Callithrix jacchus: one gene and its partners. The protein of the gene in region 4 purifies or fractionates together with the protein of the main gene of each other region. This does not show direct contact. Links are inferred from orthologs where the notes say so. Each region holds a gene or a part of one and is shown on either strand. Other genes may lie near its edges.

What was found.
Region 1: the proteins of RPP14 (region 4) and POP5 purify together in Homo sapiens (co-immunoprecipitation; 3 studies listed by BioGRID and IntAct, with this or other methods). This does not show direct contact. The link is inferred for Callithrix jacchus from reciprocal best matches to the Homo sapiens genes RPP14 and POP5.
Region 2: the proteins of RPP14 (region 4) and RPP40 purify together in Homo sapiens (co-immunoprecipitation; 3 studies listed by BioGRID and IntAct, with this or other methods). This does not show direct contact. The link is inferred for Callithrix jacchus from reciprocal best matches to the Homo sapiens genes RPP14 and RPP40.
Region 3: the proteins of RPP14 (region 4) and POP4 purify together in Homo sapiens (affinity purification with mass spectrometry; 3 studies listed by BioGRID and IntAct, counting the BioPlex papers as one, with this or other methods). This does not show direct contact. The link is inferred for Callithrix jacchus from reciprocal best matches to the Homo sapiens genes RPP14 and POP4.

What each region holds. Positions count from the first base shown.
Region 1 is NC_133510.1:123,709,899-123,717,475, reverse strand, and holds POP5 (ribonuclease P/MRP protein subunit POP5), read left to right. Parts: upstream 1-3,066; 5' UTR 3,067-3,102; coding exon 3,103-3,122; intron 3,123-3,207; coding exon 3,208-3,350; intron 3,351-4,562; coding exon 4,563-4,712; intron 4,713-4,843; coding exon of another isoform or gene 4,844-4,886; coding exon 4,887-4,970; intron 4,971-5,070; coding exon 5,071-5,165; 3' UTR 5,166-5,447; downstream 5,448-7,577. UniProt on the Homo sapiens protein: Component of ribonuclease P, a protein complex that generates mature tRNA molecules by cleaving their 5'-ends. Also a component of the MRP ribonuclease complex, which cleaves pre-rRNA sequences.
Region 2 is NC_133505.1:25,473,768-25,481,421, reverse strand, and holds the start of RPP40 (ribonuclease P protein subunit p40), read right to left. Parts: upstream 4,878-7,654; 5' UTR 4,844-4,877; coding exon 4,721-4,843; intron 4,563-4,720; exon of another isoform or gene 4,349-4,562; intron 3,389-4,348; coding exon 3,244-3,388; intron 1,976-3,243; coding exon 1,907-1,975; intron 349-1,906; coding exon 253-348; intron 1-252. UniProt on the Homo sapiens protein: Component of ribonuclease P, a ribonucleoprotein complex that generates mature tRNA molecules by cleaving their 5'-ends. Also a component of the MRP ribonuclease complex, which cleaves pre-rRNA sequences.
Region 3 is NC_133523.1:26,834,687-26,841,551, forward strand, and holds the end of POP4 (ribonuclease P protein subunit p29), read left to right. Parts: intron 1-686; coding exon 687-764; intron 765-941; coding exon 942-1,003; intron 1,004-2,599; coding exon 2,600-2,701; intron 2,702-3,985; coding exon 3,986-4,122; 3' UTR 4,123-4,415; downstream 4,416-6,865. UniProt on the Homo sapiens protein: Component of ribonuclease P, a ribonucleoprotein complex that generates mature tRNA molecules by cleaving their 5'-ends.
Region 4 is NC_133516.1:40,105,681-40,112,545, reverse strand, and holds part of RPP14 (ribonuclease P protein subunit p14), read right to left. Parts: exon of another isoform or gene 6,864-6,865; 5' UTR 6,843-6,863; coding exon 6,766-6,842; intron 6,666-6,765; coding exon 6,581-6,665; intron 2,658-6,580; coding exon 2,581-2,657; intron 2,259-2,580; coding exon 2,180-2,258; intron 1,741-2,179; exon of another isoform or gene 1,739-1,740; coding exon 1,682-1,738; 3' UTR 1,565-1,681; coding exon of another isoform or gene 1,058-1,564; 3' UTR 1-1,057. Other genes in the region: HTD2 (hydroxyacyl-thioester dehydratase type 2, mitochondrial), read right to left, coding at 1,058-1,564. UniProt on the Homo sapiens protein: Component of ribonuclease P, a ribonucleoprotein complex that generates mature tRNA molecules by cleaving their 5'-ends.

The DNA of each region.
Region 1 (7,577 bases), on a different chromosome or scaffold from region 4:
CCCAGAAGGGGCTGGGCCTGGTCCGAGACTGGGAGGCCGCGGGCAGCGCCAAAGTGCTTCCTCCCGGGGCTGTGCCTGTGGGAGAGAAGTGGGTTTACTGGCCGAGCACGGTGGCTCACGCTTGTAATCCTAGCGCTTTGGGAGACCAAAGCGGTGGATCACCTGAGGTCCAGGAGTTCGGGACCAGCCTGGCCAACATGGTGAAGCTCCGTCTCTACCAAAAATACAAAAATTAGCCGGGCATGGTGGCACATGCCTGTAATCCCAGCTACTTGAGAGACTGAGGCAGGTGAATCTCTTGAACCCAGAGGCGCAGGTTGCGGTGAGCCTAGATCGCGCCATTACACTCCTGCCTGGGTGTCAGAGACTCAGCCTCAAAAAACAAAAAGTGAGGGGGCTTACTATGCACTCGCTGTGCCAGGCATCTTGTCCACATGACCCCGCTTAAATTTCATATCCACACAGGAGGGAGGAACCATTGTTATCCCATTGGACAGATGAGGAAACAGATCTGAGACATGAATTAACCCTCCTGACACACGTGGCTGGGCCGGTAAGTGACGGAGTGGGGAATCAAACCTCCATCTGTTACCTCTCCATCTTATTACACTAAGTGGACGAGTGAAACCCTGCACAGGAGGGCACCAGCTGTGTCGACAGGAACAAGGTCTCTGGAGTCAGCTGGCTTTGGGGTTCGAATTCTGATCCTGCTTCTTACTGGATACGAGGCTTTGGTTTGAGCCGCAACTGCATTTATAAAATGAGCGAGGCACTGCAGTTGAGATGAAGGCTAGGGAAGTGTTAGGGGTAAAGCGCTCCGAGGGGTTGGGGATGGCCTGCTCTCTACGCGCACTGCGGGCCTCTGGCACCCCCTGTTGGCCAAAGGAGGACGCCGCAAACACTGTTTCTGGAGAAAGGTTGCTCTTGGGTGGGGAGTGCTGTCATTGTCACTGGTCCCTCGGCAGATCCACGGGACCCCCTCCCCCTATTCTTCCCTTCCCTACATTCCCCAACAATCCTCCTTTAATGTGGCCAAGAAGAGTGGGAGATGGGAAAATTCGGAACTCATTCGAGATCTTGCAAAAATCAATTGTGAAAGCTGCCTCCATTACGGACCTCACAGGACCAGCAAGGCCACGACAGTTCTACAAATAATCACGGATGGGCATAAACAAAGACTAAGCTACAAAGCCATACATCAAAGTTTTGGGTATAACAAGGAAACCTGGAAGTAATGTGAACCTCCACCAAGGGGATACTGACCAACTGAACAGTGGTATGTCCAAGCAATGCAATACTGCACAGCTGAAAAAACAGTATTGCCGCTGAACAGTTGACACGAAAATATACCCAAACAACAGGAATCAATCTTACAATAATATTTAGCAAAAGAAGCCAGACACAAAAGAAAACATGCTGGAGGATATTTATATAAAGTGTAAGAACAGGCAAAACTAATCTACCAGGGTAGAAGTGGCCAATAGTGGCTAACAGCAGTAAGGGATTTGACTGGAAGAGGGCTCGGGGAGCCTTCAGAGATACTGGAAATGCTCTTTATTTTAATCGTGGAGGTGGTTACGCAAGTCTATCCATATGTAAAAATTCATTGAGATGTACACTTAAGAATATGAACTTTAGGCCAGGCTTGGTGGCTCACACCTGTAATCCCAGCACTTTGGGAGGTGGAGGCAGGCGGATCATGAGGTCAGGAGTTCGAGACCAGCCTGGCCAACATGGTGAAACTCCGTCTCCACTAAAAATACAAAATATTAGCCAGGCATGGTGACACACACCTGTAATCCCAGCTATTCAGGAGGCTGAGACTGGAGAATCGCTTGAACTCAGGAGATGGAGGTTGCAGTGAGCTGAGATCTCGCCATTGGACTCCCACCTGGGTGACAGAGCAGGACTCCTTCTCAAGAGAGAGAGAGAGAAAAAAAAGAATATATACTTTATGTAATACCCCAATAAGACATTAAAAAAAAACTTGAAAATAAAATAAAAGAAAAAACATAATTTAACAGAGGGCATAGTTCTCAAACTATTTTCTCTGTCTCACGACCCCTTTACACGCGTTACTGAGGATCCCAAAGAGCTTTTATTTTTGTGGGTCGTATTTACTAAAGCTGAGAAATGTTTAGAAAACAATACACAATTCCATTAGCTGTTAGAGCAATGATGTCATCACGTCAAGCAGCCTCTGGAAAACTTGACTGTTCACTCTGAGAGAGTGAAAAAGGCAAGTAACATCTTAGTATTATTATGAAAGTAATTCTGACTTCGGGGACTCCTAAACTGAGTAAGTTTAGGAAATCTCAGTGGTCCCCAGTCTACACTTTAAGAACCACTGGCCCAGGGAGAAAATGATAGAAGAAAACACGTGACACGACAACAGTTATTCTCTCTCAGTGCTGGGATTATAATTTATTTGCTTCTTGGTGCTTTTCTGTTAAAAAAAAAAAAAGAAAGAAAGAAAGAAAAAAGAAGTGGAAAATATAATGACCACGTATTGTTTCTGTAAACAAAAAACGAGGCAGCACACTCGCCTCCCTAAGATTGTTGAAAGGCGCAAACAGCAATAGCATATTTAGCTGTATGGAAGAATTAAACTGAGTTCTAACCTGAAAATAAGGGTCCGATTTCCCGTTTGTCAATCCCTGGGCTGTTGAGGTGCAGGGTCTTGCCCTCAAAAACTCCACCGTTCACCTTGGGGAGAAAATATACCCGCATACATAACTATGCTGCAAGGTTTCCAGGGCCCCAAGAAAAGCGGCTGCATCCTATATTTACAATACAATACACAGCACTGTAAACACCGGAGTGCAGCAGAACCAACCATCACAGTTGCAACACGATTAATACCCGGATCCGGTTCAGCCCTCAAATTAGTCCGGGTCCTCCGCAGGACGCATGCGCGCTTAGAGATGGGGCGGGCCTTGAGGGAGACTGACACAGAGCTCGGCTTCTCAACTTTCTAGCTCCGCCCTCATGTCCTGCCTCCTTCTCTGAATGGCTGAAAGGCTGAGGAAGCAAGCTTCCCATTGGCAGCGGGCGGAACCCACATCCGTTTTGCACATCGAGCCGGAGGGCGCGGAGGCAGCCATGGTGCGGTTCAAGCACAGGTAAGCAGTTCCTTCCAGACTCATCCAGTGTCTTGCCGGGACCTCGCGGCCCCGCTAGCGCCCATCTTCCTCTCGCCGGCCGCAGGTATCTGCTCTGCGAATTGGTGTCGGACGACCCCCGCTGCCGCCTGAGCCTCGATGACCGAGTTCTGAGCAGTCTCGTACGGGACACGATCGCCCGGGTGCACGGGACTTTCGGCGCAGCCGCCTGCTCCATCGGCTTCGCGGGTGCGAGGGCGCTGGGGGAACCCGGGAGGATGGCGGGACGTGGAAGGGGCAGGCGCCGGAGGAAGAAAGAAGGGGCACGAGCCACTGCTGGAGTGGCCCAGCCCCCGGGCAACTGCTTTTTGTAAGGTATCTCTTTAAGCGCCTGGCACTCAGAGCTAGACTTGATCCAGACAAGTCCGAAATTAGCAGAGAGCTAACAGGAGGGGTCCGAAGGCAGTAGACTTCGATCTAAATGCCTCTTTTTACCTGTTTGACATCTGTAATTCGTTGTGACTTAATTTGATAGGATAGAGAATTAAATGAGGGAAGCAGTGAATCGTTCCTAGTAAGAGCTGTGTGACTGATTACATTAAAAATCACATGGGGAAAAAAATTGTCAAAACCCTGGGAAAGCCCTTTAATAGTTGGCAGAGTGCAGAACACATGATTGTTTATATATGTAAATATAGGATGAGCTGCGACAAAGAGGGTCCCTTCCACACCACTTATATTAGTTCCCTCTTTTACCTTGAAGATAGGCTTAACTCTCCTAAATCAGGTTAGACTAAGCTGACTGCTACAAGAATTAGAGCCCAATTGCAGCAAAACAGCTTGTTTTTCAGGCAAGAGTTTTGTAGGTTTTTTTCCTAAATTAAAATGGATCGCCTCCTACCTGCTCCTATTTATTGAATTAACTAGTTAGTGAATTAGAAAGCATTTTAAATTCTAAATTCATTCACCAGTTCTGAGTGGTATGCAACACAGTGGGTGTTTTGGCTTTTCTCCTGTTTTTTACTGCTGATATAGCCTACGTGCCACTTGCCTGCAACATACATTGAGCACATAGTAGGCTCTGTTACTCCAAGGTTTTTAATACGCTCCTGCAACTCCAAAGTTTTCCTTTTTTTTTTTTTTTTGGATTCAGTCTCGTTTCACCCAGGCTGGAGTGCAGCGGTGAGATCACAGCTCAGCGCTGCCTCCACCTCCCCAGTTCAAGCAATTCTCGTACCTCAGCCTCCCAAGCAGGGAATTACAGGCGTGCACCCCACCATGTCTGGCTAATTTTTGTATTTAATAGAGACAGGGCTTCATCATGTTGGCCTGGCTGGTCCCGAACTCCTGACTTTAAGTGATCCTCCTTCCTTAGCCTCCCAAAGTGCTGGGATTATAGGCATGACATGAGCCACCATACCTGGCAAAAGTTTTCCAAAACGATTTTTTTTTTTGTTCTAGTTCGATACCTCAATGCCTATACTGGAATAGTGCTACTTCGATGCAGAAAAGAATTCTATCAGCTTGTGTGGTCAGCTCTTCCCTTCATCACGTACTTGGAAAACAAAGGACATCGTTACCCATGCTTTTTCAACACGTTACATGTGGGAGGTAGGAGTGGAATGTTACCACATGGCTACTGATTTTCAATAGGTGACACGTTCAGAGTTGAGTCTAGACTGTTGGGTGGGTCTTCTTGCTGTCCCGCTAACAAGACACTCTTCCCCTACCTCGTTATAAAGTCGAGACCTTTCACAAGCTGCTGACCACAATAACTCATGCCAGGTACAATAAGAACATGTCAGAAGTTCCTCATTCAGTACAACAGAAGACAGCTGTTGATCTTGTTGCAGAACTGCACTAATGAAGGTAAGCAACACTAGTCCAGGGCCCACTGAGCAGTGACAGACCTTGAGCCAAAAAAAATCACTCCCAAAGTCATCTTTCATCTGTTATCTGCCTTCTCCAGGAGAGCGGGAAGCTATCCAGAAGTCTGTGACAAGAAGCTGCTTACTAGAGGAGGAGGAAGAGTCAAGTGAGGAGGCTGCCGAAGCAATGGAGTGAACCTCTGCTCACCATACAGCAGGCTACACTGTGCTCAAGCTTCAAGCCCACTTGTTGAACAGAACATTCTGGGTAGCAACAGCATCTTCTACATTTTCCTAACTGGATAACTGCAACCAGAGGACACGTTACCCACTTGAAATGGAGTACGCAGTTAAACTGAAGTTGGCTTTACCTAGCATTCCCTGGTTAAGTGCTGTAGGTTGTGAACTCTGTATAGACATCTTTGTATCTAATTGCTTGGCTAAGAGTAGGTTTAATAAATGTATCTGGTTTCCTTGGTAACTAGCATACTTATGTTACAAAAAGAGCTTATGGAGTCCATGCTTGGCCAAGTCTCCATTCCCTCTCTATCCCTAGCCTTGGTGGGAAGACTGACTCCCTATGTGGTACTAGTTAAATTTTTTTTTTTTTTTAAACAGTCTTGCTCTATCGCCCAGGATGTAGTGCAGTGGTGCAATCTTGGCTCACTGCAACCTCCGCCTCCTGGGTTCAAGCAGTTCTCCCACCTCAGCCTCCCAAGTAGCTGGGATTACAGACATGTACCACCACACCTGCCTAATTTTTGTATTTTTAGTAGACATGGGGTTTTGCCATATTGGGCAGCTGCTGTTGGAACGCCTGTCCTCAAGTGATCGGCCTGCCTTGGCCTCCCAAAGTGCTGGGATTGACAGTGTGAGCTACTGCACCTGGCCTAGATTTTTAATACTTAGCCTTCTATTTGAGGCTTTGTACCCCCAGCCCCCAAGATGAGCCCTAAGCAAGGCAAGTCATTTGAAATAGAAATTTTAGTTGAGACACAGCAACTAAACTGGCAGAGATCTATAGCCAGTCTCAGCCCAGAACCACAGGCTCTTAGGTACCAGATTCCTTACCAGTACTTAAAATATGCAACTTTTGCAGTTGGGGTGGGAGAGCTGGCCTCACCTGACATCATTATTGCATGGCCATATACTTAAAGAACTTAAGGTAGTTTTTGTAATTCCACTTTTCTTTATTGCCTTACACCGAAGACAAGTGAGACTGCCACACTCACTAGGAAGCAGGAACGGTGAGAGATTGTGATCCAGGTTTGGTCTGCTACCTACGAACATTTCTAGGATCTGTTTTCTCCATAATACAATGGATTACACTGAAAGTACTTATACACATTTAACAGAAATACTGGTGACTGGCTTCAACATGCCTCCCTCTTTTTTTTTGTTTTTTGAGCCAGTCTCACTGTTGCCAGGCTGGAGTGCAGTGGCACAATCTCTGCTTACTGCAACCTCCAACTCCCTGATTCAAGCTGTTCTTCTGCCTCAGCCTCCTGAGTAGCTGGGATTACAGGCACCTGCCACCATGCCCAGCTAATTTTTGTATTTTTTTGTAGAGATCGGGTTTCACCACGTTGGCCAGGATGGTCTCAATCTCCTGACCTCGTGATCCGTCCACCTCAGCCTCCCAAAATGCTGGGATTACAGATGTGAGTTACCACGCCCAGCCACCCGCCTCATCTTGAGGCCAGAACACCCTGATCCACCCAGGAAATTTACTGAAATGATTTCTTTCAAAATAGCAGATTAAAGCTAAGCCCAGCTCTAGAACCATTTAAACCTGACACCAGAAGAGACAGCCCACGATATCCTGGTAGCTATCACATTAACCTATTCAAGAAATAACTCATCTAGTTTACCTGTGATTAACTTAACAAAAAGCTCACATTGCTTGTGCAGGTGATTTATTGCAACCATTTGCCTTCGCAGTCTAATACACCTAGAGGTCACTTTATTAAGCAGCAAGAGAGTTCACATCAAAATTAGCTCAAATCAAGGCATAAGAAAACTGCTCTAGATCAGAGGGAGACAGCAATGCTACGGCTTGAGACGGCCCTGCTCTTTTCCAGCTGTACAGACTCCTGTTCCTAGGACTCAAGCCACTGTCACTGAAAACAAGCTCCATCTTAGGGGTAGCAGGTCTCAGGGCTTCCTTCATGAGTTACAGCTTTCCTTGCCAATGCAAGCCATGCTCAAGAGGCGGCAAAACCCTCCTTTCACACATGCAAGTGCCAAGGACACCTACCCCATTAAGCTGGCACCACAACCTGGCCATGTGTCAGAAGAAAAATAAACTGCAATTCAAACTGGGTGTCCTAAATCCATTTTATTCCCACCCCTCTGCTTTAACAAGGAGAACTAAATAGTAAGGATCCAACTGTTTTTAAAAGACAGAGAGATGCTGAGCCCAGGAAGCCCTGACACGATGCTACGGCAGAGCAGTGCTGTGCCATTCTGGGCTGGACAGCCTAATGCAGGTCAAAGGGACTCAATCTTATTTTGGGTTGAAAAAAATTAATTACACATGGTTCAAAAAGACTACACTCACAACAAACTAAAAACCTTGGCAGGAAGAGATCTCTTGTGAGTGTCAATA
Region 2 (7,654 bases), on a different chromosome or scaffold from region 4:
AAACATATATATTTAATTGCCTAGTCCAAGTCTACAAACTTTACCAAACGAGGCTACAGCTGATAAGAAATGGACTTAAAAGCATCACCATCCTATCCTGTGTGAACCTCGAGTCAGAAGTTTGACAGATATTTTTTAAAAGCCACATTTTTCTGGACAAATAGAGTAGAGGCAATTCAAACATTTAAATTGAAATTGCCTCAGGAAGATTACGGACTTTTTAGAAACGGATCAAGCACACATGATACTTACTAAATTTCATAATTTTTCTGCCAGAAAACTGAGATGGACGACCCTGAAGTCCAGTTTCTTCATAAGTGTCTTTATCCAATGACAAAATTAATGTCCCTATAAATCAAATATTAACTCCCATGAGATATAACAAAGATACGACTTATGTTGTCTGACTAAAAGAAACCAAGGCAAATTGAACAGTTAGATAGCAATGTAACAAACTGCATGCAAGGATCTTACTTACATCACAAGAACACTGTTTATATACATACATGTCTTGTAACGCAGATATTATTTACACATTATACATCCAAGGATATTATTTATAATAGTGAAATCAGAAATAATCCGAATTTCTACTGAAGATGAAATAAAGAAGTCATGGTATACTCATTCTTCGAAATATCTTTTTTTTTTTTTTTAGACAGTCTCACTCTGTCACCCATGTGACAGAGTGAATGCATATAGCATGATCTCAGCTCACTGCAACCTCCACCTCCTGGGTTCAAGCTTTTCTCCTCCCTCAGCCTCCCGAGGAGCTGAGACTACAGGCACCTGTCACCACATCTGGCTAATTTTTGTACTTTTAGTAGAGGCAGAGTTTCACCATGTTGGCCAGGCTGGTCTCGAACTCCTGACCTCAAATGATCCACCCACTTCAGCCTCCCAAAGTGCTGGGATTACAGGTGTGAGCCACCGTGCCCGGCTTGAATATCTTAAGCCATTAAAAACAGGAAGTTGGAACTATATCGACTAATAGGGAATGATGTGTATCATATGAAGCTTGTGTGGGGGGGGAGCACATTAAGACACAATGTAGCATGATACAATTTAGGTTAAAAAAAAGACCTTGGCTGGGTGTGGTGGCACAGGTCTGTAATCTCAGCACCTTGGGAGGCCAAGGTGGGTAGATCATGAGGTCAAGAGATCGAGACCATCCTGGCCAACATGGTGAAACCCTCTCTATACGAAAAATTAGCTGAGCGTGGTGGTACATTAGTAGCTCCTGTGATCCCAGCTACTCAGGAGGCTGAAGCAGGAGAATTGCTTGAACCCGGGGGGTGGAGGCTGCAGTGAGCCAAGATCGCACCACTGCACTCCAGCCTGGTGACAGAGCAAGACTCCATTGCAAAAGGAAAAAAACTTGTATGTGTGTTTATAAACTCAAAGTGTCTGGAAGAATCAACACCAAACTGTTAACAAAGGGTCCTTCTAAGAAGGGGAGTGAATTTGGAGGGAAGAAAATAAAATCACAGACCTTTGCTTTATTCTCTATAGATCTGTGTGATTTGACTATTTGTGTGTGTGTGTGTGTGTGTGAGTGAGAGAGACGGAATTTTGTTCTTGTTGTCCAGGCTGGAGTGCAATGGTGCAATTTTGGCTCACTGCAACCTCTGCTTCCCAGGTTCAAGCGATTCTCCTGCCTCAGCCTCCCTAGTAGCTGGGATTACAGGATTACCACCACGCCCAGCTAACTTTTTGTCTTTTTAGTAGAGATGGGGTTTCATCATGTTGGCCAGGCTGGTCTCGAACTCCTGACCTCAGGTAATCAGCCTGCCTCGGTCTCCTAAACTGCAGGTATTACAGGAATGAACCATCATGACTGGCCAACTATTTTTTTTTCCACAGTATGCATTTTTTTAATAATTAAAGATGAAAAAATAAGTGTTACCATTTGGTAGCAGGGCAACAGTATTATCTTCATCGATATTTGTATTGTATGTTAGTGCACAGCAAGAACCTGTAAAAAAATCCAGAGGAAAAATTTAAAAGAAGAAATTACACCTGCAAGATGTTAGTGGATTGTTTTCACAAGATAACGAGTATTCCAGGTAATTAAAGGTCAGTTTCTACCGCTGCTCCAGCTCACTCAATAAACCCAACACCTGCTAAAGGTAAGCTGAAGCACACAAAGACCAAGCTCCTGCTGGTCCACTCCCCGACCAAGGGCCTATTTGTGTAAGTTTACTATCATCAAGCAGAAAATTGACTCAAAATGGAGCATGACCCTTGGGGATGCGGGGAGAGGGATACAAAGTAGAATTCTAGATAAACATACACATCTTAGAGGCAGAGTTCCAGGTTAAGATTCAAAAGCTACTCAACCTCTCCAAGCCTCAGTTTCCTCACCTGTTAAGTGACGATCATAGGCCTGCTTCAAAAGTTGTTGCAAGGCTTAAATTCGGTAAGATATTTAACAGTGCCCGCTACAGCCAGTGTCCGTGTTATTCACAAAGTGGTATCAAAATAGATGAAAGGAATAACGCTGATGAGACCAGACAAGATGCCCAGCTCATAAGTAGCCCCAGCAATGTCAAAATGAGAGGAGCTACTGGTAACTAGACTTCTTCATATCTTCTCTGGAGAGGACATAGGTGGGGGCCACCACAAGGTCAGCCTGTGGCCACTGTACAGGTTGTCACCTTATGTAGCATGGGTGGAATCCCCAAAGATCCTCTAAAGTAGTTTCAAAAAAACGGCTCCCAGGAAACAACTGAAACAAACCAGTCCAACCCAGCAGATTATGGGCAGAAATGGGGTGAGCAGAGGGGGATTATGGCTACAAAATCTAAGCAGAAGACACAGGACCCCAGCCACTACCTTGGCTCTGTGAGCAGGAGCTGTGGCTGCATCTGGAGACCCACCCCCTGAGACAGCTGCTGTGGGACTGCTGACAGCATAGTGTCTTTGCTGCCACATCAACAGCAGTGCATCAAACACACATTGCAAGTCTTTCTCCCCATTAATCTTCATTTTAAGGGGATGGATACCCTCGTGTTACATCCCCATCCAACACTTGTGGGCAATTGCAATCAGAAACCACCACTAAAGAGGGCATAAGAAAGAACAGGATAAGAATGGTGGAGGGGAGCGCATGTGTGCAGTTGACCACAAAGACTATCCATCCCACAGGCCCTGTTCAAAACTTGAACAGCCCTAGCTTTGTGATGTGGTCTCCCTATACTTCCTCATCTTGCCTTGTTCATAGACATTTCAGGTTTTTCTTACCTTTCTTTATAAAGGTACTGATGAATTCGTGTGTAATTAATTCATGAAGAGGTAAATTCTTCACAAAGTAATAGGGTCCAGTTTGCATGACCAGGTTTTTCAGTTCCTCTGATAGTATCCCACATTCAGGAATGAGAAATGAAACCTATCGGAATGTGTAATACAAACAATGTCTTACTTCTATGAAGATGAACACCCAGGTTTTTAGGAATGAAATAAGATCATGAAAGTTCTTCTTTCTCCACCAGTTTCACTGGAACATATAAATACAGGCAACAAAACTCTTACGCTAACTTATCTATCTCAGTCAAAGAGAATTCTGACTACTCAAGTTTTTAATTTCTGCATTCAAATGTACAGTACAGGAAAGGGATTGAACAGAAAACTTTAAATGGAAAACTCTTGCTTGCATTTTATCTTTTGCAAATTAGCAATGCTGTATATTTTATGTCCTGTTCTTTGCACTATTTTACTTTCAAGGAAATACAGTATAATTGAATATCCCTTGATTTGTTTACCCTGGTGCTACCCTGGAATGAAAGGAACTATCTGTTGGGGAGATAAGGAATTTATGAACATCCAATTACTAAGACTCTATGTGCAAGCAATGGTGCTCCTGTGTGTTTCCACTTTCGAGACAGAAAAATGCAACAGGAGAGTTAAGGTATACATCCCTGACAGCTGTGATGAGATTGCCACCCAAAACAAGTGTTAAAAACAGGACAGGCTTCAAATGTTGCCACATTGTAAATGTCATCACTGTCCCAAGACTCAAACACCAGCCTGTTCTGACAGATCAGGTCATCTCTCAATATCTCTGAGACACTGCTCAGTCAAGCCTGAGTTATTAAGCCGAACGATTTAAAGTGTAAAATGTTTAATCCCCCATTGTAAGGTTGGTTTCTTTAAGTTTTTCGGGTATCAAATTAGTTTCCACAACCAATTTAGAAAAGCAAGTCGCTTCCTGGGCCGGGCCTAGGCAGGATGCTCTGGAAAGATCTACAGGTAAACAGGTGGGAGAGGGATTGAAGTCAGGGAGGGAGGCGGTGGTGGGGAGGAGGCGCGAGACCCGCCCTGATATGGGGAGAAAGCGAGGTGCACGTGCCTGCCCGCAGCTGCACGTCGCAGTCGTCACACCGCTCTAACAACCTAGTCTCGGCCTGGAACCTCCAATGCCTCCCTGGACTCACTCCCTGTTTCGCGCGAAGACACAAGTGAGCAGCCGGAACACTCCTGCCAACAGCTCCCTACAGGACTGGGTACTGCCCCCACGCCCTGCGCATCCTCGGTGTTGTAGTCCTGCAGCCCTTCAAGTCACTGGCCTGGAGAGGTTAAGAAACTACAACTCCCAGCATGCCTGGCAGGGCCCCGCCCCCTTCACGCACTCTCCGCCCCGCGAAGCCTAGCACTCTCCCAAAATCTCTCTCGCACGCCGGGACCAAGCACAGCCGGAAAAGCTGAGGACAATCGGACTCACCCTGTAGTTATAATAGTGCGTCTGAATGATATGCCGGTGGCGCGACTTGTGGTTGCCGAAGTTGGATTTCTCGCAAACCAGTAAGTGCCGCGGAACCTCCCGAAGCCGGCGCAGCGTGGCCATGCTCTCCCAGGTTCCTGGTCCTCCCGGCCTCCGCGGGTAGGGGCATGCCCCGCCCCTTCCCGGCCCCGCCCCGCCCAGCTCCGCCCTTTCCCTCCGGCCGCCTACCTGTTATTGTGCGCCGCTGGTAGCGGTGGAATGGGGCTGTCGGCGCCGAATTTCTAAACAGTTCTTCTACTTCTTAGAAACCCACGCAGCAGGCCGGGCGCGGTGGCTCAAGCCTGTAATCCCAGCACTTTGGGAGGCCGAGGCGGGTGGATCACGAGGTCAAGAGATCGAGACCATCCTGGTCAATTTGGTGAAACCCCGTCTCTACTAAAAATGCAAAAAATTAGCTGGGCATGGTGGCGCGTGCCTGTAATCCCAGCTACTCAGGAGGCTGAGGCAGGAGAATTGCTTGAACCCAGGAGGCGGAGGTTGCGGTGAGCCGAGATCGCGCCATTGCACTCCAGCCTGGGTAACAAGAGCGAAACTCCGTCTCAAAAAAAAAAAAAAAAAAAAAAGAAACCCATGCAGCAGCTCCCTGGTGGATGTCTGAAACTGCAAATTCACTGCCTCAAATGAAAAAATCCATCGCTGGGAACCTGACTCTTGCCTTTTCAACGCCACCTTTCCTCCGTCCCCGCCATCCTTCTGAGCTGCTAAACCCTTTCTATGGGCCCCGCCTTGAAGCGACCCTGGGACCCTGGCCTGGCGCTGGCGCTTACCTCGGTCAGGCCTCTCAGAGGGATCGCTTCCTGCCACCGTTATAAAAGGAAAACATCACATGGAAAGGCCCAGTTCCTTTATTATATGGTCAAGAAATGTAGCTGCACACTTAAGTAACCGCCTAAGCTGCTTTGGGGGGGGTCACACCCAGCTGCTTTTCTGACTCCTTACACTGTTTGGTTCACAGGACTCTGTTACCCATTGGGGACCTCTTGGCCATCCGTAACACAGGCCAGCAGGACTAAAATTTGCATTGATCCTTTCCAAAACTTTAAGGAAGTTTGTATGGGAAGGTAAAGCACAATTTAGCCTTCTTTGAAACTAGTGTTGATTTCCTTTTTAATAGCCCTTCAGACCCACTTTTAATAATGTGTTGCTTCTGGGGGTTATGGTGATAATTCTCCTAAGTCATTTTTCCATTTAGTTTTACTGCCACAGACAAGAGACTGCGGCTCCCAGTATGCCATACGTTACTGATTAAAGGCAAAATCAAGTATGTTACTACATGCTTCTTAAACTAGAGAAGGCACAGCCCCATTTCTGCACGGGCAGGATACAATACAGCAGAATATTGATGATACATCTTCCTGGGGCATCAGTTTTTGTGTGTGAGGTGGAGAAATGGAATTAAGTTGTTTACAAGGTAAATAAGAATTTAAAACTAAGCTGGTCACAGTGGCTCATGCCTGTAATCCCAGAACTTGGGGAGACTGAGATGGGAGAATCACTTGAGCTCAGGATTTCAAGACCAGCCTGGGCAATATAATGAGACACCATCTCAAAAAATAAAAATAAAAGAAAGACAAGGCTGGAAAGTCGTCTGCCATTAAAAACATCAGTAATCTGGCCGGGCTCGGTGGATCATGTCTGTGATCCCAGCACTTTGGGAGGCTGAGGCAGGCGGATCACGAGGTCAAGAGATCGAGATCATCCTGGCCAACATGGTGAAACCCTGTCTCTACTAAAAATACGAAAATTAGCTGGGCTTGGTGGTGTACGCCTATAGTCCCAGCTCAGGAGGCTGAGGCAGGAGAATTGCTTGAACCCGGGAGGCAGCGGTTGGAATGAGCCGAGATAGTGCCGCTGCACTCTACCTGGCAACAAGAGTGAGACTCCATCTCAAACACAAAAAAACAAAAACAAAAAACAGTAATCTGGCCAAGTGCCCATGGCTCATGCCTGTAGTCTCAGCACTTTGGGAGACCAAGGCATGGGGATCACCTGAGGTCAGGAGTTCAAGACCAGCCTGACCAACCTGGAGAAACCCCATCTCTACTAAAAATACAAAAATTAGCCAGACATGGTGGTGCACGCCTGTAATCTCAGCTACTCAGGAAGCTGAGGCAGAAGAGTCGCTTGAACCTGGGAGGCAGAGATTGCAGTGCGCCGGGAGGTAGAGATTGCAGTGAGCCGAGATGTGCCACTGTACTTCCAGGCTGGGAGACAGAGTGAGACTCTGTCTCAAACAAACAAATAAAAAAGTAATCTATGACTGAAATGTCACATTTTTTTCCAAGAAGAAAACCTAATAAGAACCTGTTTCTCATTATTTTATACAGAATTATAAGGCATGGCAAGTTAATCAGAAAAACCTTACCAATTTCCAAGATCACAATATGGCAGTTAGATGTTTTATGAATAACAGCTACGAATAACATGTTAAGATGTGAAAGGCTTAAAGCATTGCTTCTTGGTCACCTCACATTTAATGTGGCTGTCACCAGACAGTGGCTTTGTGTGCGGCAGCGGCGCCCCAAGACTGAAACATCACGCATGTACCTCTCCTTTGTCCGCATTGCAGAGCTCTGCACAGTGACTGACATCCTGATGGTCTACCATTTGTATTTGGAAGCACCATGAAGCTTTTCCAGCAGAGCTCTGCACAGTGACTGACATCCTGATGGTCTACCATTTGTATTTGGAAGCACCATGAAGCTTTTCCAGCCAACCATTTAGTTTAAAATGTTGCCTATTTTGAAGATGCAAAATAAATTTTATCTATATAAATATCAGCTGAAAAATGTATTAGAGATACAAGCTGCACTCTTCTCAGAGTGACCCCACAGAGTCTCTCAGCTCTAAGTCCTCCTGTCTGCCTGCTGATAA
Region 3 (6,865 bases), on a different chromosome or scaffold from region 4:
AGATCTACAGCCAAATAGCCTCCCACACCCCAGAAGATGCTTAAAGTATGTCATGCTGTCCCCAGTCCTGCTCAGGAGATCAGGTGGAGGAGGGGATGTTGCCTCCCAGGGTTTGCCTCCCGGGTGGAGCTCCGGTTGGGTTTGAGCTTGTGGTCCTTGTTTCTCTAACCTAAGGCTTCATGGAAGCAGATTCCCCACGAGCCATCAAGACCGGAGATAATGGCCCAGAGGAAAGCTGTTGAGGTCCTCGCCCCTGCACCCCTCCCCTTCTCCCTGCTACCTGCATGCTCACCTTCCAGACCAGCCTGCTGCCTCACACAAGAACCTGCGTGACAACCAGCAACCCCTGCCTTATTGAGGGCTTACTAAGTTCAAGCTCACGTAACAGAAAACCTCAAAATCACAGTAGCTTCAATGAGCCTCATGTTTATTTCTCTCCCATGAAAAGAAGTCCAGGTGGACACCACCCTGGCTAGTGTGGTTCTACCAGTGAGGAAACGGAGGTTAGAGCAGTGAAGCTTCTTGGTCTCCCTTATCAGCTCAATTGCTGATCCTAGGATTTGCATGTAGTTCCTAATGATCCCAGGTCACAGTGGTTGGCATCAAGCCAAGCTCTGTGCTGTTTGGACATCGTCATCCCAAGCTCATGTGGTCTAACTTTTTCCCTGTTTCTGACTTTGCCGCAGATACAGTCTTTTTCTCCCTCTCCATGAACTCTGGAAACAGTATATCAGGGACCTGTGCAACGGGCTTAAGCCAGACACGTAAGTTGCATTCCTGAAACTTTTCTCTTTGGGGTGGATCCCAAGACTCTGCTCATTGTAAATGCAGTTTCAGGAGCCAGCCTCGGCATTGCCTGGCTGCAGAAGGCTGAAGACCTAGTTGCATCTTTTGGAACTTTTTATCATGATGTAAACCAAGGGCTTCTGTTTACCTTGCAGTCAGCCACAGATGATTCAGGCCAAGCTGTTAAAGGCAGATCTTCACGGGGCTATTATTTCAGGTAATTTACCTAAGAGCGTGTAGCACGTGGCCATCCAGAGGTTCACACTGTCACTCTGTGGAGACCCAGGGCTTGTGTCCTGTTGGACACGCTCCTTACTGTGTGGATTCCCTGAAATGGCCCCCTGCAACCATCATCCCTGCATTCAGGGTGGGAGATGCTTCTCACTGGCTGTCTTAGCCAGTCTGGCCACTTGCTGGTCACACCCTAAGTGGTCTCTGTGTACCTTTTCCACACAGGGACCCCTGTTAGTACCGTAAAGGGCACAGTGGCTGTTGACACTCACCCATGGCCTGGAATCTTGAATATAGAATCCCTTTCATCCAGTGCTATGGTTTCAAATGTCAGCTACGCCTGACAGCCCCCAAGGTGACCTCTCCAGCGTAGGCCTGTCCCCTGAATTCCAGGCTCAGGTATCCAGCTTCCCACTTCACACAGCCACCTGGATGTTCAGGGGGCATCTCAGACTCTACAGAGCCAAAGCTCCTCCCGATTCCCCTCACAGCAACCTCTCCGGCTCTTTTCCATCTCAGTTTTAATTACTCAGTTATTTACCCTGGTTGTTCAGGCCAAAAACCTAAACAGTGTCTATGTTTCTTCTTCCCTGATCCCCTCCTCTGATCCTGTGGAACATCCTACTACCTAAACTCAGCCACTGTCATCTCCCTGGATTACCTCAGACACAGGTCCTCCCGGCCCCAGGCAGCAGAGTGCCGGTTATATAGAGATCAGAGTGCGTTTCTTCCCTGCTTCAGGTCTTCCTGCAGCGTCCCATCATATGGGAGTAAACCTGCCTCCAGATCCCTGGGGCAGCGGCTTCCCACCCCACCTTCCTCCTGCCCTGCCCCAGAGCTTTGCCTCTGCTCTTTCCCTCTGCCCAGGAGTTCTGTGTGTGCAAAGACCAGCTTCTCATTGTTCAGCCCTGCTCCAGTGCTGCTCCCCTGAGGGTCTACTTTGGCAAAACATGGCCCTCCGCACTCATTGCCCTGTCCCTACTCACTGCTGTCAGAAAGTAGAATGGTGTGGTTCACCGCTCGTCACCCTGCCTTGCTAGAACCTGGGCTCCATGAGAGCGGGACTGCCTCTTTCCGGCTGTGTCCCTGGCATCTCCCAAGGACAGAACAGGCACACTGCAGCTGCTCAGTGACTGTCTGTCGGCTATACCGAGTCTCAGGTCAATACAAGGGAGGGGCTGCTACTTGTGATGGTGGCTTGTCTCTCAGTGCTGGCTGCTGGGCAGCTCTGCAGCAGGACTCACGTTCATCAGAGCAGCCAGCCCATGGGCCTTGATGGTGCTCATTGTTCTGGAGTCAAAGGCATATGTGTCACCTTTGACTCCAGAATCCTGCCCGAGACCCCTGCAGCCACACACCTCATAGGAACAGTCCAGAGGCTGCAAAGCCCCAGCGGAAGCCTGGGTTCTCATAGGCTCAGGCAGTGCCCACAGTTGAGCCCCCATGCACTGGGTGCTCTCTTCCTTCATCTGCTAGCTAAGAGGGTGGGACCAGTACCCCCGACCCCTGAAGCGTGCTGCTTGTCTATGGTTCCCCCAGCACCACAGAGGCCTGAGCCTGGAACTGCCCTTTTCCTTTGCAGTGACAAAATCCAAATGCCCCTCTTACGTGGGTATTACAGGAATCCTTCTACAAGAAACAAAACACATTTTCAAAATTATCACCAAAGAAGATTGCCTGAAAGGTATGTAGGTGTTTCCCCAATCCTGTGGGCTGGGGCTTCCAGCTCCTGCGTTAGCCCTTTCCTCGAGGCTCCAAGATTACAGATACTTACTGACCCTGCATTAAAGCCTGCAGAGACCATCCCCTGCGCCTGTGGCTCCCCCAGGAGATGTGTGTCAGTGCAGCCAGCAGCCCCAGCCAGAAATGGCTAAGGGGAAGGAGGAACTGCTTGGCTGTGCCTCAGGGACCTGGGTCTGTTTGGGTCCCAGGAAGGGGCCTCCACCTGCCCTAAGGCCGCTGCTCCCACAGAGATGTAGCCACAGAGGCAGCAGGGTAGAAACAGGAACAGCGCCTGTCCCTGCAGTTCCAAGCTGTGTCCTTGGCGATGACTTTGTGTTCCATCGATGACATTGTGTTCCATCAGTGGCCAGCATTGCTCCAGCAGACACTTCGGGTCTTCCAGGATTCCTACACCCTGCCTTGCCCACAAATCCAGAGATATCAAACCACAGTTAGAGGGTTGTGTTCCTTTAATTTTTTTTTTTTTTTTTAAACAGTCTCTCTCTTTTACCCAGGCTGGAGTGCAGTGGTGCAATCTCAACTCACCGCAGCCTCCGCCTCCAGGATTCAAGGGATTCTCCTGCCTCAGCCTCCTGAGTAGCGGGGATTACAGGCATGCATCACCACAGCCAGCTAATTTTTGTATTTTTAGTAGAGACGGGTTCACCATGCTGGACAAGCTGGTCTCAAACTCCTGACCTTAAGTGATCCGCCTGTTTCAGCCTCCTAAAATGCTGAGATTACAGGCATGAGCCACTGCACCCGGCCTTGTTCCTTTACTTTTTGAGTTTGGTTTTTCTTGTTGCTCCCCTTATTTTCCTACCTATTCTTCTACCTCACATCGTAGACCTCAGAAAGTGTTGTAACAGTTTCCTCACAGAGCATAAGGCCAGGAGCCCATCTGAAAGTTATGTGGGGAAACCAGTTCTGGCAGGTGTTCTGGGTCTCTCTGGTTCTGGGAATTTGTTGTATAGCTTTTGACCCTGAAGATTAGGTGCTGAGTTATATTTAGCATGTGACTAAATTGACCTTACAGCAGAATAACCACATGTAACCCCAGTGCCGCTCCCCTCGTGGGTTTCCCGTTTCCTATTAGCTTATTTTTTTCATTCAATGTATTATGAATAATATTCTACCTAAAAGTAAAATATTAGTAAATAAATAAATGAATGAATAATAAAACTTTGCTGCCAGGGTTTTTTCCTCATCTTTTTTCTCCTGCTTATTTTGTTTTTATTTTTTTCAGTTATCCCCAAGTTAAACTCTGTGTTCACTGTGGAAATCGATGGCTTTATTTCCTACATTTATGGGAGCAAATTCCAGCTTCGGTCAAGTGAACGGTCTGCAAAGAAGTTCAAAGCCAAGGGAACGATTGACCTGTGAGCGCTTTGCCATCCAAGGCGGTTGTTGATGACAGCCGAAAACTGAAACTCCAGTGCCCACCTTTCAGTGAAGAGATGGCTAAGCCAGTTCCTGTCATGGACCACCTCCACCAGGGAAGCTCCGGGTTGAGGATGTTGAGCAATATGGGAGGCGTGCTGAGTGAAGAAGTCAGGGGACAGGAATTTCTCCTAGGGGATCTTAATTGTGTATGGCTCCCACAGAGAGGAACAGACTGATGGGAAACACAGCAGGGTTAACACTGGTTGACTTCATTTAAAGATGCTTTTTCCTGTTTTCTGAGTGCTCTATGATGAATCTGTTGTGTCTGTGATCATACATTATACATGTGGACATAAACAGGCATCAAATGAAGGAGCTATTGCTGCAGTCCAGCCAGGTTGAAACGGAAGCGGGGGTCCCCAAAGATCCATTGCATGGCAGGTGTCTACAGAGGCGCGCCTTTGGGTGGAACTCTTTGACCTACCTAAGGGTTACTTTGCTATTTCAGGAAGGTTGAAGAGGATTGAAGGGTGGGTTGCTAAGGAACTTAGGGCTTATTCACTTCAGGAATCACAGCTGGGGTGGCTGCCAGGAGCATAGCACCACGTGCGGCTATGCCTCAACAGCACAGCTAAAGCGGACCCCTCCTGAGCTGCCAGCGTGAGCTGTGGAGGACTGAAAGGCGGTCACCCAGCATTGCCTCCTGAGGTCAGACCTGCGAAAGCCAAGCCGGCAGCATTGATGTCCTTTGATATCTTAGTTCCATTTTGCTGCTGAAAGACTTGGCTTTTCAGTCTGAACCTGGCCCTCTGTGGCGATGTGTCCGTAAGGCCAGTGGGTCAGGCCCTTCCGGGCAGGGCCAGAGGAAATGCAGGCCCAGGGCTGCAGTGAGCGTGGGGCGGGGGACCAGCCTAGCAGAGGGGTCAGAAACATGGCTCCGAAGGACGACTGCCCCTGCCCTTTGAAGAATAAGTGTCCGCCGATCAACAGGGCAAGGCCAGGAGCCCTCATGGTGAAAGGCAGGCTACAGTCTGTTCTCTGCAGGAGAAGCGGCGGTGCTGAGGCTTTACATTTCTGGTACCTGCCACCGAGACCACACCAGAGAAAAACACCACAGTGGAGAAGGGAAGTGGGAACGCTCACTGCTGTGTTCCGGGAGAGCAGAAAGGCCTAGCTCTGTGCCCCTGCCCCTCCCCAACGCTCACAGTGCACCCAGAGTCTCACAGGGACCAACTCGGTGCCTCAGTCCTGCTTCCATCTGTGCACCAGTTCTGAGGTGGCTCGAGTGCTCTCCCCCAGGCAGCACGCAGTCACCGCTGCCAGTGATGCAAACACGCACAGGCCAGGGACATGGAACTCAAGCCCCTGCCACCTCGGACCCAGCCCAACGAACGCCTGGTGATGTGGCCATCCTCATTCTGCCACAGGAAGACAGACTTCAAGGGACTCCTTGCCCAAGGCCTCGCTGACTCAGGGTAGAACTGAGATTTGGACCCAAGAGTCAGGCTCCAGCACTGCTTTCAACTACAGGGTGGCTGCAGGATGAGATGGATGCAGTTCTAAAGCGCAGGATGTGCTGCCTTTATTACCTGCTTTCCCACGAGCAATCCCGGTCTTGAGTGGGAAGTGACATCTATTCCCCCAGCCATCTGAAAGTGCTGCGTCTGTAACAGCCTAGGTGCTGTAGCTTCCTAGCCATCCCGCTCTTACCCACCCCCCAGCAATGTAAAAGGCATCCACTGTTGTGTAAATACACAGTCGCTTTCCAGAAAAGTTGTTGGTCCCACTTGCCATGTGAAATCTGTTTTTCATTTGGCGCAGACTCAAGTTTCTGTGTGAGTGGCTGTTAAATTTGTAGACTTCCTCTTCCCCAAGGACATGTGGGGAGGGTGCTCGCCGGCCATGAAGTTGCTGCTATGCCTGCCTGTTTCTAGGATATGCTGTCGCCCCCATGGCATACCCAGGGGCCGTGTCATCTCCCAGGTAGAGGAGGGAAAGGGGAGGGCTCAGTTGGGCAGGACATGGTTCCTGATGAGGAACAGCTACAGAGGGCATGACCTGAGGCCCAGGGGCAGGGGCCAGGCTGCCATGTCTCCGCAGCCTGTGGCACAGCTTGTCATGGAGGGCAATGGGCTTTGTGGCCTGATCTCCCATATCCACTGTCCAAGGAGCAGGACCCCAGCAGAGCTGAAGCCTTGGCCATGTGGTCCCACAGGAGATAGAGCCACATTAGCCTCATGTAAGCCTCCATGCATCAGAAAAGGTGCCAAAGAGGAGAGAGAGAGTGCTTAGCAACTCGAGACAGGATTCAGACGCTGCAGGACTGAAGACATCAGCCTAGCAACCATTGTTGAAAGAGTGGGGCCTAGGGGCCCTTTACAGCTCCCCAGCGCCCAGCTGCCACACAGGCTGCAGAGGATAGGCCAGAGCCTTGGGAGGAAAGGACGAGGCCCTTGGAGGAGAAAGGGCAGCATGGGCTGTGGCCAATGTGTCAGCACTAATCTCCATAACAAGATGCCACACACTGGAGTGCAGCCTTTTCTCACAGCTCTGGAGGCTGGAAGCCAAAGATCAAGGTGCTGGCAGGTTAGTTTCTGGGGAGGCCTCTCCCCCTGGCTTGCAGATGGCCACCACCTTGTCCTCACACGGCCTTCCCTCCCTGTGTGCAAGGAGAGTGATCCCTGGGGTATGATCCTTGTAGAAGGATGCCACTCCTATTGGATCAGGCCCCTTTTCTTATGAC
Region 4 (6,865 bases):
GACAGACTCAGTAACTACTGAAAAGCAGGGTCTAAGAATATTCACTGATAAAAGGTAGGTGTTCAAATATGACCCAACTTCTATTTTTGTCTTCAGTAATTAAGTGATACACAGCTGAAATTCAGTGAGAAGCTGCTTCTACACAGATACAGGAAGGGTTCTATTATCCAAATGCAAATCTATATAGGTCTGAATTCCTAAAAGTAGAATCTTTTTGAGATGGAGTTTTGCTCTGTCACCCAGGCTGAAGTGCAGTGGTATGATTTCAGCTCACTGCAACCTCCCAGGTTCAAACGATTTTCCTGCCTCAGCCTCCCAAGTAGCTGGGATTATAGGTGCCCGCCACCATGCCCAGCTAATTTTTGTATTTTTAGTGGAAATGGGGTTTCACATGTTGACCAAGCTGGTCTTGAGCTTCTGACCTCAAGTGATTCGCCTGCCATGGCCTCCCAAAGTGCTGGGATTATAACCATGCACCACCATGCCTGACTTCAAAGTAGAGTGTTTACATAAATAACCTTCCCAATACTTTTTTTTTTTTTGAGACAGGGTCTTGCTCTGTCACCCAGGCTGCAGTGCAGAGGTGTGATCTCAGCTTCTCATTGTAACCTCCAGCTCTTGGGCCCAAGCTATTCTCCCACCTCAGCCTCCCCAGTAGCTGGGACTACAGGCCCAAGCCACCAAGCACTACTAATTTTTACATTTTCTTTTTGTTGGGATGTGGTCTCACCATGTTGGCCAGGCTGGTCTTGGACTGCTGACCTTAAGTGATCCATCTGCCTCAGCCTCCCAAAGTGCTAGGATTACAGTTATGAGTCACCATGCCTAGCCTATTTCTTGAATTAAAAAAAAAAAAAAGGGCAGAGAATTTCACATACACTCTTGCATAAGGCCAAACTGGAAAGTGGGCATTTGAACAGCTATCTGCTCCCTTACCCTAATTAGGATGGGCTTCTGGGCCTACCAACCATTCTTTGGTGAAGAGCAGCAATCCATTTCCCCAAAGGCTCTTTAATAACAGCATTGGTGTTTGAGGTTGCATCTTTAAACACGTATTTCAGGATTTAGGAGCTTCTGGAACCATAACTTTAACCCAGCCTTCCATGACAGTCTTTTTACTTTCTACTACTGAACACGACACTGCAATAATAGCAATGAACCGTTTTAGCTTTTTCACTTCTGCAGAAGCTAAAACAACTTCTCCAATATATAAAGGGGCTGGAAAGCTAATTTCTTGGGAAAGAAATACACAGCCTGGCCCTGGCATTTTAGTTCCCAGGAGAGCTGAGATAAGTCCATTGATCAAAACTCCATGTACAATTGTATTTCCAAACTTGGTGTGTTTTGCAAAGTCTTCATTTAGATGCAAAGGATTGGCATCCCCTGTTAACTCTGAGAAGGTAGCCACATCCGTCTGTGTGAAGGCCCTCCTAAGTTCAGCACGGTCTCCAACTCTGATGTGCATATGCTGAAAGTGCTGCAGGGCCAGCACCGGGAGGTTCAGGCAGACTCTCCTCCGAAGCCCACCCCACCAAAGGTGATGGCTGGAAATTAGTGGGAACATCTTCAGCACCCTCAAATTTCACCAAGAGCTTTTAGCCTGCTTCAGTCTTCAAACATGCAGGCACCAAAAAATAAATCTGAGAGTGGAGGAATGTTTCCAAAATAGAAGACTATTCCTTCAATCCAATACTAGTTCCCTACTATTACCAGATAATGCCAGGAGAAATGGAGAAACCTACAAAAGAAAGAAAAAGGTTAAGGCATTGGAAGAAACTGCACTGAAGCACAGGGCAATGTGGAAACATGTCCAGTTTTACAGGATAAACAAAGTGAATGCAGGAGCATTTTAAAGAGCGTCCCAAGAGGAAGCCTTCAATAACAAGTAGTCATAGCTTAAAAGGAGCATACAATATATAACACCCAAAGCATTAAGTGTTAAATAAAAAATAAGACTTAACCACAGAGTAGCAACTTTTATCCCAGAACAACCTCCCACAGACTTTAAAATCTGAAGTGCTGTGTCTCACATTTTTTGAAAACAAGCCCTTTATGTTCCCCTACTTAGATCATGTTAACCATATTACATTCATGCAAGCACAAAAATGAGCTATGAATATTAAGAAGCGATTGAGCCATCATCAGTCTCATTTGGAATATGTGAGGGAACAGTCTTTACCTGAATCACCCGGAAAGCACATTTTTTGCCTTTATAGGATCCTAACAAGGCCAAAGAGCTCCACAATTTGACAAGACCACTGCAGAAAAGACCAGGAAAATACATAGCGTATCATAGGCTGAAAACAAAATGAACCTCAACTAAGGTTTCTGAAATATTCACTTCTGGCTTTGCAACTATAACCATCAATGGGAAACTAGAGCTGTAACCAAAGCATGTTTTGCTCTCTCTAGGGTACAAGTTTCTGGTGGATGGAATGTTCATATTCATCCCAGTTAAAATCCCCAAAAGCTGCTCAGAGTTCACAATATTCTTCTCATTCTCAGAGGAAAGAATTTTTGCTCTAATTCTCATCAGTCTCTCTGACTTGTTATACTAGAAATGCCCACTCTCTGTCATACCTGCTACATATTCTCAAGATGGCTGACAAGGTCTTCTCTTCATAGCGTAGGATGTCCAAAGGCAAGGCGGCATCAACCTGGATATGGAATAATACTATTAGCAGGCTGTTAGCACCATTATTCTTGCTTGTCAAGTTTTGACTATTCTCCACAAATGCTGTATTTTATTTAATGGTGCTGGTGCTTTGAATTGCCTATTTGATTATAGCTCCCCCTGCCTAGAAAGTTCTGCCTACACCTCTTCATATGGCTGATAATCAGTCCCTCATCCTTTGAGCCTTCATTTAAATTGTTCCTTGACTGATCTTTAAGATGAGACAAAGTCAGCTTGCTATGTTCTTTCTTGTACAGGAACACCATACTTCCTCTTTCATAATTCTCTTCATTCTTGTCACTAATTGCCTAACATGTTTTCCTACTACAAGAACCAAGACCATCAGTCCATGCGGCAGAGGCCATGTCTGTTTCTTCGCAGCTATATAAATCCCAAGAACAAAGTTTTCTATCTCACATACAAGTACACACAGGGATTTTTTTTTTTTTTTATTTTGTATTTTAAAAAATTACAGATTCACAAGAGATTGCAAAGAAATGTACAGGGAAGTTCCATGCACTCTTCATCCAGCCTCCCACAGTGTCAATGCCTTGTGTAACTACAGTACAGTAGCAAAACTAGAATTACTTTATTTCAAGTCTTCTATAAATGGAAACACCTAGTATGTAATGTTTTGTTACATTACACAGGCTTTTTTTCATTCAGCATAATTCTCTGGAAATTCATCCATGTTGTGTCTATCAATAGGTCATTCCTTTTCATTGCTGAGTATATTCCATAGCAGGAATGCACCACAGTTTATTCACCCATTAAAGGATATGTGGGGTATTTTCAGTTTCATTATTATTAAAGCTACTATGAATATTCATGTACAATGTACAGGCTTTGTGTGAACCTAAGTTTTTATTCCTCTGGAATAGACGCCCAGGAGTGCTAATGCTGAGTTCTATGGCAGATGCATGTTTAGTCTGCTAAAGATATCGCCAAGCTATGTTCCAGAATGGCTGCACCATTTTACATACCCATTATAACATATGAGTGATCCAGTTTCTTCGCATTCTTGCTAGCATTTAGTGTTGTTATTTTTTCAGTGATTCTGCTTGGTACATAGTGGTATCACATTGTGTCATTAATGTGAAGTTCCCTAATAGCTAAACATCTTTCCATGTGCTTGCCAACCATACATCCTCTTAGGGAAATGTCTGTTAATTTTTCTGCCCATTTTCTAATTGGATTATTTGGTTTCTTACTATTGAGTTTTGATACGTCTTTATTATTATTATTTTTTGAAAAAGTCTCACTCTGTCACCCTGGCTGGAGTGCAGTGGTGCAATCTTGGCTCACTGCATTCCCCATCTCACAGGTTCATGCACTTCTCCTGCCTCAGCCTCCTGAGTAGCTGGGATTACAGGCGTGTGCCACCATACTCAGCTAATTTTTATAGTTTTAGTAGAGACAGGGTTTTGCTCTATGCTACTGAAATGAACTTGGCACCCAAAAAAAGAGAAAAAAAGATAGGGTTTTGCCATGTTGGCCAGGCCGGTCTCAAACTCCCAACCTTAGGTGATCCACCCACTTCGTTCTCCCAAAGTGTTGGGATTACAGGCATTAGCCACCACACCCCGCCTATTGTTATTATTATTATTATTTTTGAGACAGGGTCTTGCTGTTATCCAGGCTGCAGTGCAGTGGTGCAATCATAGTTCACCACAGACTCAAACTCCTGGCCTCAAACAATCTTCCTGCCTCAGCCTCCCAAAGTGTTGGGATTACAGGCCTGAGCCACTGCACCAGGCCAAAAGTCATTTATATATTCTAGACACTAGTTCTTTGTTGGATATGTGGTTTACAATTATTTTCCCCCAGTCTGTAATTCATCTTTTCATCCTTTTTTTCCCCCACAGTGTCGTGATCACGGCTCACTGCAACCTTGAGCTTCTGGGCTCAAGCAATCGTCCCACCCCAGCCTCCTGACTAGCTGGGACTATAGGTGCACCACCATGCCCAGCTCAATTTTTTAAATTTTTTGTACAGATGAGGTTTCACCAGATATCCAGGCTGGTCTGGAACTCCTGGGCTCAAGTGATCCACCTGCTCTCAAAGTGGTGGGATTATAGCTATGAGCAACTGTGCCTGTCATTTTCATCCTCCTAAGAGTCTTTTGCAAAATGTAAGTTTTAAATTTTGATGAGGTACTTAGCATATTTTGATTTGACGGACAAACATTTGATGTGATGTACAGAGGTATCAGAAAACAATTTCCTGAGCATCTTCTGTCTTCTCTCAACTTCCAAAACCCTACTTCTGTTCTCAAAGGAATGCTAAGACAAATCTGCTTAAAGTGTGGGCCTACGACAAAATAGGGAGTTGAATCAGAATGTAAAACAATAGTATAATTAATCACAGTGTTTAGTTCAGTTCATCTTTTTTTCATAAGAAGTCTTTTTTTTTTAACTTTTTGTTTTTTTTTTGAGATGGAGTCTTGCTCTGATGCCCAGGCTGGAATGCAGTGATGCCATCTCAGCTCACTGCAACCTCCACCTTCAGAGTTCAAGCAATTCTCATGCCTCAGCCTTCCAAATAGCTGGAACTACAGGTGTGCACCACCACACCCAGCTAATTTTTATGTTTTTAGTAGAGAAGGGAGTTTCACTATGTTGGCCAGGCTGGTCTAAAACTCCTGACCTTAAGTGATTTGCCTACCTCAGCCTCCCAAAGAACTGAGATTACAGGCATGTGCCACAATGCCCGGCCCATAAAGAGACTTTCTCATTAAAAGTGATAGTGCACTGGTTCTGCTGCAAATTCCTCATCTCTTCAAGATGGTCAGAGAGTTTGCAGGTTGCCAGTCTAGGCCACACTTTGAGTAGCACTGTGCTAGAACAAACATCTGTCTAACATGTTCCTTGTCAAATAGAAGGCATAATAGAATAAACCTATAAAAATTCATCACTTCTCAAAGTCTACTTCTGCAACTTCAAACACAGTTTTAAAATAATATCTAGGGAAACCCTCATATACTACTGGTTGGAATGTAAATGTACAACCACTATAGAGAAAAGTATGGAGGTTTCCCAAAAAACTAAAAATAGGTCGTTTGATGGCTCACGTCTGTAATCCCAACACTTTGGGAGGACAAGGTAGGAGGTCTGCTTGAGGCTAGGAGCCTGGGAAACATACTCAGACCTCATCTCTACAAGTAAAAAAATTGGCTGGGCGTGGTGGCACATGCCTGTGGTCCCAGCTATTTGGGATGCTGAAGTGGGAGAATCACTTGAGCTTGGGTGGCTGAGGCTTCAGTGAACCATGACTATGCCACTGTACTCCAGCCTGGGCATCACAGCAAGACTTCATCTTGAACACAAAAAAGAAAACAGAACTAAAAATAGATTACCATTTAATCCTGCAAGTCTACTATTGAGCATACATCCAAATGAAAGGAAATTAATATCAAAAAGACATGTGCACTCTCATATTTACTGCGGTACTATTCACAATAGCCAAAATACAGAATCAACTTAAGTGCCAATCAATGGATAAATGGATAAAGAAAATGTGATATATATTACAATGGAATATTATTCCATAATATTCCATAAAAAAGAATGAAATCCTGTCATTTGCAGCAATATGAATAGAACTGGAGGCCATTTTGTTAAGTAAGTCATATACAGAAAGACATGTTCTCACTCATGTGAGAGCTAAAAAAGTAGATCTCATGAGGATAGAAAGACTGGGATGGGGGTAGAGAGGATGGAAGGATGGGGGTAGAGAGGATAAAGAGGAAAAAAAGAAATAAAAATGTGTTTATTACAATAAACGAATAAAAAATTTAAAAATGCAGAGTTGTACAATTAAAAAAATTTTTTTAATGTTTGAAAAGCATTCTTTCTGAATTTCTTACAAAGATCTTTGGCATGTTCAATCTACCAAGTGATTCCATACCTCCCCAAACAGGTCCTTCAGGGCAGAAATAAGAAGCTGTTTGAACTGCGCAGCATTCAGTCCAACTCCACCATCTTGAAATTCTCTAAAAAAACATGAAAAAAAAAGGCATCATATTAAATTTCATTCTGTTGGGATTCATGTTAGAAAGTAATCTAAAATAGAACTTAGGAAACTAAACTTACAGGCAGACTTTCATGTAGTGGTGCTCGGAAGGGTTTTTGTAAACTACTCTTTCATATGTGGCAGCAGGCGCAGGCATCTTTTCCAGTGCTGATCACACCT